Xenopus tropicalis: one gene and its partner. The protein of the gene in region 2 purifies or fractionates together with the protein of the main gene of each other region. This does not show direct contact. Links are inferred from orthologs where the notes say so. Each region holds a gene or a part of one and is shown on either strand. Other genes may lie near its edges.

Region 1 (3,656 bases), on a different chromosome or scaffold from region 2:
TGTACCCACTGTCAATCAATGACTGGCAAACTGGTAAGCACATACTTTGATATCAAATATAAAGACATGGATTGATCTTTGTTAAAATACTGCAACAGAAAAATGTATGAAAGAGTGAAAAGGGTGATTATTTATCAAGTAAATATAATTCACTCAGTAAAACATTGGACTGGCGGGATTACTATCTTTGGACCCTAGTAGTCACATTATAATAAATATCGGCTGCCTGTCTTGCTTATTTAACTTATAAGTAGCGTTGTGGGGGCATCAGTGTACCTTCTCTACTAAAGAAGGTCTAAAAAAAAAAATTCAATAATTTTGCAATTATGCCTATGCCTAATAGAAGCCAGCAATATAATATGTATAAAAAGAATTGTCTTTAAAGCGGGGAAGAATGTTACTCACCCATAGTAACGTAGGGAAGCTTGTCAGTGGATCCATGAGGGTAAATGCTGTACAGATGGGGCCCAGTACAGTCCACTCCACCCAGTACCAGCGCAGCACCAATATAACCTTGATACCTACAAGCAAAATACAATATTTTCAGATGCTGCAACAACAGACATTTCTTATGTTGAATTCTACTGTTGACTTTAAAGTGGGCTCGCTTCCTATGAAATATTCTAAATAGAATAAAACGAATCTTAAACCCCAAACAACCTCAGTTATGACCTACATATTTTGCATCTGTAAACTATTCCAACTGTGGACACCTTATACACTGTAAAACTTACATGAATATGTCTTAGTATAGTGCAGCTTGCACTTGTGGCAGCAAAAGGGTTGATCTCCCAACAGCGGATTCAACTAAACGAGATAGCAGCTTTGTCTTAATCTCATAATTTAAATAGTACAAAGCACTTTTCTGCTTGACACTCTTTCAAACTCACTAAAAACAAAGTATCCAAAGGAAGTGAATTGCGAAAGTTGGATATTTGACACTAAGCCAGAGGCAAATCCCCTGATCTCCCTTCCTTATATCTTTAAAATGATGTACACTCATCTGTTTCAAGCGGAGATGTGTGGTGCCTGCCTAGAGCGGCTGAACATTCCTTGCAGAATTAAACTGCTCCTCTGTTACACTGCATATAAATATTTCATGCTGGAGCTGCCATGCAGAGCCTTTCCCCCTGCTTACTTTGCCTTGTCAGACAAATGAACACAATGAGAAGCAATTCAATCTCAAATACAGACAATGCTACTAAATTCCAGCAAAGTGGAGCTTTGGAACAACAGCTGATGATAAGACAGACGCCAGGAAAATAGAAATGTTAGGGGTTGTCACTAAAAAGAATACGCATGGCTTGCATTTCAGCTCCCTTTGAACACTTCGGAAGCTACTGCCGCATGTAACTGCGAAGGGGGTGGCAAGCTCAGCTTGCAGTCTTTTAGCTATTATCAAACTATAACTCCCATCATCCTTAGTAGCTAGTGTAGGAGAAAAGCTGAACACTATTAATGTAATGTAATTAAACCCTATGCACAAGTATCTTATATACAGAATGACAACACAGGTATAGGACCCCTTATCCGGAAACCAGTTATCCAGAAAGTTCCGAATTCCATTATAAGCAAATAATTCTAATTTTAAAATATTATTTCCTTTTTCTCTGTGATGATTAAACAGTACCTTGTACTAGATCGCAACTAAGATGTAATTAATCCTTATTGGAGGCAAAACAATCCTATTGGGTTTATTCAATATTTAAATGATTTTTAGCAATTTAAGTAATGGAGATCCAAATCACAGAAAGATCCCTTTATCCGGAAAACCCCAGGCCCCAAGCATTCTGGATAACAGGTCCCATACCTGTACTAAGACCCAATTCCGAGGGTATGATACTTTTTTTTTTTTTTTTTTTTACTCTTATTGGCTCCTTAGACAGCAGAGAATCATACGATTTTTAGGGAAAATATAGGATTCCCAGAAAATTATGCATAGTACTTTAATACAATTGCTGCTAAAGAAAGTTTTCAAGACTATAGTTTATATATGTCTGTGTTAAGCCACGCCTCCCAAATGTTGTCACATATCTGCCCAAGGGTTATAGAAACACATGACACTGGAATGTATACCACTGTGGAGTCTAGAACCACACTCCCTGGCTGTGGTTTATATACCTTATGGATGGGAAAAACAGGTTCCCAGACCATGGTCAATATACCTTGGTGCTATGGAATGTTATATACGTGCCCTTTTTACATTTCTCTGTCATTTTTTTTTTTTAGTATAATCTTAAAGGCTCACCATTCACATTTACAGTAACAGAAACAAATATTGTTGAAGTAGAGAACACTAAGCACTGGTTTATTAAAGATTTGTTACCTCTCTTTGAAAAGAGCATGTATATGAAAGCATCATGGTATGTGTGGCTTGCTGCGTTAATATCATAGAGCTACATTTTTATCCAATGTACGCTTAGTATGGGGACTAAGGAAATCATAATCAGGGCTTCCATCTTCTACACCTTTAATACACTGAGTAAATATGCTTGGTACTATGAAAAATGCTTATATAAAAATTGTACAGGTGTGGGACCTGTTATCCAGAATGCTTGAATAAGAGGTCTTTATTTGGTCAACATGGCTTAAGCCTGCTAAAAAAGTATTGTTTTGTTTCAAATAAGGATTAAATTATATCTTATTTGGGATCAATTACCAATGTACTTGTTTTACAGAGACTTCATATTAAAAAATTGGAAATATTTGATTCAAATGGAGTCTATGGGAGATGGCCTTCCCGTTATTTGGAGCTTTCTGCATAACAAGTTTCAGGATAACAGGTCCTATACCTGTACTTAGGTAATGTGTGATGCAACATTTGGTTTCAAGTGTTAAAATCAACTGCCCCCAAAGTTTTTTTTTTTATCTGGTTTGAAAACTATTAGAAGAGGTAAGCTAGCCATTGGTTTTCTTTAATACAAGCTTTCAATCAAGAGTGTATGTAACAGATGCAAACTAGATAGGAACGACTGAACTTTAAGGACGTGCGTTTTTTGTTAACCACTATTACCTCCCTGCTAATGAATGACTCTCCCAGATCATATCACCCACACCATGGGATATTGTAAAGGAGAAAAATAAAAACTAAGTAAGCTTTATCAGAAAGGTCTATGTATATACAAAAGACAAGAAATCCTGTGTTTCTTTTGATAGAGAACTCAGTGCAGCTTTTCTGCGAGTGCTTATGGCTGTATTTACATAGACCTTTTTTGATAAAGCTTACCTTTCTTTCCCCTTTAAAGGGATTATTTACTTTTACCTTCACTTTTATTATAGAATACAATACCCAATTCCTAGCAACGTTGCAATTGGTCTTCAATGTGTATATGTTATAGATTTTGAATTCCCTTTGCTTTCCTGTTCTGCCTCTTGCCAGCTTTCAAACAGGGTTCACTAACCCCAGCAGCCAAAAACTATTTCTTTGTGAGGCTACAGTTTTATTGTTATTGTAACTTCCTATTACATATATTTTTTATGCAGGCGCTCTCCTACTCATATTCCCATCTCTCGTTGAATCCACTGCGTGGTTGCTAGGGTGCATAAGACAAGGCAACCAGATAGCTGCTAAAATTTCAAACTGGAGAAATGCTGAACAAACAGCTAAATAATGCACAAACTATACAAATCAAACAATTTAGACCAATTGAAAATTT
Region 2 (4,392 bases):
CAGTACCTTTTAATTTAAACCAATGTGGTTTTGTTTCCTTTGCTTGCCATCTTATTCACTTTGCTAATCAGTGATAGCCCCAAAATGCTGGATCTTAATTTGACTTAATAAAAACTTGGGGCTAGGCCCAAGTTTGCAAATGCCTGTTGTGTGGTCTACTAGACTAGGAGGGCGTGCCATCTCCCAAAAGGGCTGAGCACCAGGCTTATTGCAGAAGGCCAGGGTGTGTTTGTGAGACCTAGGTGACATACAGTATAAAGCGGACCATACGCGCTAAGATCTGATTGTTTGGCGAGGTTGTCAAATAAGTGTATCTTTCACCACAATGCCAAACTTCAGGCATATCAGCGGATTCAAAAATTTTTTGGCCAGATAGTGGTTGGGCAGGTCTTTCGGATGGCATCATCCAAAAAGGCATCAGGCCAAAAAGCTGTAGATTCCAGAAGGACTGAAAGGACAGCTTTTGTTGGCCTGTATATGGCCACCTTAACTGCTACTCTAAGCTATCAAATGCATGTGAAAAAAAGGTGACTAAAACCTATTCAAAATGTAAGTAAATCAGTTTTCAAAAACTTATCTATTTTACTTCATTACTACATGGAATGGAAAGGTTTAATGGGCATTTAAAGTGGCAGTTTCCCCCTTGCTGTGTAAATGTTACTTTTCAACTTGACTGGCTGCCCCCATGACTACACAACTGTTTATGAATGAATGAGACATGTGCAGAATATATTTCTTGTTTTTTTCTTATTTTAATAAAATTTATATACATATATATATATACATATATATAGCGAACCCAGGGTGGCACTCTGCTTCAGCTCTTAGCTCGGGTGCAAGGTAAATGATTTAAATATCCAAAAAAGACCAGCAACACCGAGTTGTTATATTCCAAAAACAATCAATTGTGTATTAAAAACACATGAACAGCCAACGTTACGTTTCGGTCCCCATCGGGGCCTTGAGAAAGGTCCCGATGGGGACCGAAACGTAACGTTGGCTGTTCATGTGTTTTTAATACACAATTGATTGTTTTTGGAATATAACTCGGTGTTGCTGGTCTTTTTTGGATATATATATATATATATATATATATATACACATACATATATAATTTGTTGGCTGGTTGGTTCCTGGCAAGTACATCAATAGATTAACAGAGAAAACCATTCATATGACATTACATTTAACAGAGAGACTGTAACAGATAAGGAGGCTTGTTTCAGGCAATGTACACAGATGCACTGTACTTATAAACTATAAATATATAAAATCTAAACCTCTAATGCAGTTAGTTTCATACTTTCTTTGGTTCAAGTATGCCTTTGAGGCACAAAAGTTAGGATGCTTATCAAAAATCTTACTCGAATACCATTTAATTGGACTTTTGTATTCTTTATTAAAGTAAAAACTAATGCTCACCACATTACCTGGTCTTCAGGCAGGACCTCACATTCATTACTCTGGGATCCCCAAGGAGGGCCAGCCCAGTTTGAGGACCACTACTCCACTATACCAAAAAATAAAGAGCGCTTATCGGCCAATGACATGCAACACCTGTTGCAGATGGGCAAATGTTTTTGGAAAGCACTGTGCATGATATTAAGCTTGTGTTAAAAATGGTATTGTCATGAAAGAGGGTAATTATGTGCTGACAGTATCCCTTAAACATTGTCACTTTAATTCCAAAGGAAGAGGTGGTGACAAGAGACCCTCTGGGGATCCTAAATAATAATTTCAACAAATGTGTACAGTCTGTAGTGAGTTTAAGGGAGCCTGCAAAATAGGTTTGTTCTGTTACAACCATTTCTGGCATGTCTCAAAAAAATGACTGTACCCCTGCTACATATTTGAGAGGGGCTTAATGTCTTGCTTCTTTAATGTCTGCATACTTACCAACATGTTTCCAGCATTATGGGAATACATCATTATTGTGTGGTATGTTATATGCATTGTGCATCCCCTTGAAATGTATAAATACACACACACACACACATGTATATTATATACAAGACACTATAAATCGATCAGGGCCGATATTCAAAAATATGAATATCCAAAATGCACAACACTGACTTTATTTACTGCATAAAATGCCAGTTGTGCACTAATACTACTCCCACCACATTCATTAATAAACTGCTTTATGACCCCCTGCCAACTACATGACTACTCTAGCCACAAAGGAAGCTGGGAACGCAGGACATGCAATCCCTCAGATCGATAATGCAAACTCATCCAGCGCCCATAAACAACAGAGAGCAGCTTTGCCCCGGGCACCACGTGACTGTGGCGCCCCCCCTTCCCCAGCCAGGGTCACGTGCCCGGTATCTGCCTGTAAGGCGAGCTAGGGAGAAAGCTCCCACATTAGCGCGCCCCCTACCCACGTCCCAACTACTAGTTCGCGCAGGATACCCCAAAATAGACAAAGATTTCTCTAGCGCTCCTGCACGTTGATAAAGCCCTCTTGGCCAGTGTAAAAACAACCCCACCCCCCCGTTTTATGAGCAGCTGTTGTGCGACATTCAAATACTGTGTGCAAGGCCCCATAATGCTTAGTGGAACCCTGAGGCTGCAGACTTTACCGTCTCCTCTCCGTCGATGTCTATCTTAAATGTTTGCTGCTGAAGGGTCTTCAGAGTGATCTGCATGGCTGCTGTCGTATGCTGTCCCCAGCTCCGGCCTGATGTTCAGCCTGCTGCAGTGTGATAGAAGGCGCACTCCCCTCTCTAGACACGCAGTATATCCGACTCGGAGACGCTTTATCCGTGTTGGAAGTAAAGAAGACTCCTCCCCGTTACTCTTCTACAGTCCGCCGATCGCTAAATGTACGGCTATGAAGTACAGTGTCCAGCGCTTATTTCGCTGTCTCATTAGTACGGCCTGTCCGCCGCCATCGTGACTCCGCTGACTGGAGACGCGCGAGACTAGGAACTTGCGCGCCTGCGCCAGGGGGCGGGGCTACGGTGCGGCCGAGTGGGTGGGGCGTGCGGCTCTCAATGACAGCCATGAGCTGTCACTTCGTGCGGTGATGTCACTGCGCGTTCTGCGTTCAGGATTTTTTCTATTAGTAGAACTCGTTCCGGCCTCTAAGCTTACTAGGCAAATTGTGTCATGTCACTCACACACTGTGTGCACAGCATGAATCAGCAGTGAAGGAGCAGCGACTTACCGTAAGGTCGCAAACACCCAGACTTGTGTTACAAGGGCTGGGTAAAACAATGTTATTGATAAGGGTAACTAATAAAGAGAATATATCATAAATTAGAACATGTCATTACCTCCAGAGAGAGGTATTAGCAGAAACTGGTTTTGTGTTTCAATTTAACTCCAGATGAATGCAAATTTAAAGGAGACATATCCTATAAAAATGAAGAATGTACCAGGGAATTATACTCCTCTAGATATAGAAGGATTGTGCTTAAAAAAGTAGTGTTTCAGACTGATTTATTGAGAAATTCCACAAAACTCCCACTAACCCCGCCCATCTGTTCCACTTCTTGCTGGCTGAATTCTCTGGATGAGCCTTGGGGCCCTCAGTACCCTGCACTGTAGGATAGGAACCAATCAGCAACTAGGCTGACCTGATAGGGAACTGAAGTCTGTCTGTGCTTGTGTGAGTGCAGGGCTGTGATTGGCTCTCCCCCTCCTACTGTACTTCTGGCAGGGACCGTTAGGACACGCCCACTCTTCATTTCAAACTCAAACAGAGAAGTATGAAAAGTAAAATACTGAAACATGACCAGAAATTGATATATCTGCTTCCTAAACCTGTAGATGCAAAATAAGGATGTTATAAAAAGGTATGTGCTAGATTTTTATTTTTGTAATATGATAGAACCGGCACAGCATGCCTTGATGCTAGTTTTATTTCATGTAATACTGGAATTTAGGTAATGTGCTGACCCCATAATACCCAGCACCAGGACTGGACTGGGATTCAAAATAGACCCTTTCATTTCAAGTACATAGAGGCCCAAACAGCCCCCCCACCAGCACATTAAACCATTTATTAAACCACAATTTTTTTTTCAGAAAAATTCATATTTCTTCGAATTTTTAGAACTTTTCAGAATGACCACAATAATATTGTTAAAATAGTACGACTTTTTCATGGTTTTCAATAACTTCCACGAAAAAGTCGTATTTTTTGGAAAGACTGCGACCTTTTCGGAATTCATTCAATCTTCGGTATGGTGACTTTCTTTTGGCCAGGCTCATACCTCCCAACATTTGAAAACTGAAAAGAGAGGCAAAAAGATTTGGCACGCACAGCGCGGCAAATTTTTTTGACCATGCCCACTTTTGTGGCCACGCCCCAATTAACACACCCCATTTTTTTCTAAAAATACTCCTTTTATATAGTTGAAATGGCGGGATCAGATGCAAATG

Evidence for each region. The genes of interacting proteins can lie anywhere in the genome.
Region 1: the proteins of rad23b (region 2) and psmb7 fractionate together in Homo sapiens (co-fractionation; 3 studies listed by BioGRID, with this or other methods). This does not show direct contact. The link is inferred for Xenopus tropicalis from reciprocal best matches to the Homo sapiens genes RAD23B and PSMB7.

Annotation. Positions count from the first base shown.
Region 1 is NC_030684.2:29,140,306-29,143,961, reverse strand, and holds part of psmb7 (proteasome subunit beta type-7), read right to left. Parts: intron 522-3,656; coding exon 406-521; intron 1-405. UniProt on the Homo sapiens protein: Component of the 20S core proteasome complex involved in the proteolytic degradation of most intracellular proteins. This complex plays numerous essential roles within the cell by associating with different regulatory particles.
Region 2 is NC_030677.2:120,684,446-120,688,837, reverse strand, and holds the start of rad23b (UV excision repair protein RAD23 homolog B), read right to left. Parts: upstream 2,925-4,392; 5' UTR 2,652-2,924; coding exon 2,586-2,651; intron 1-2,585. UniProt on the Homo sapiens protein: Multiubiquitin chain receptor involved in modulation of proteasomal degradation. Binds to polyubiquitin chains.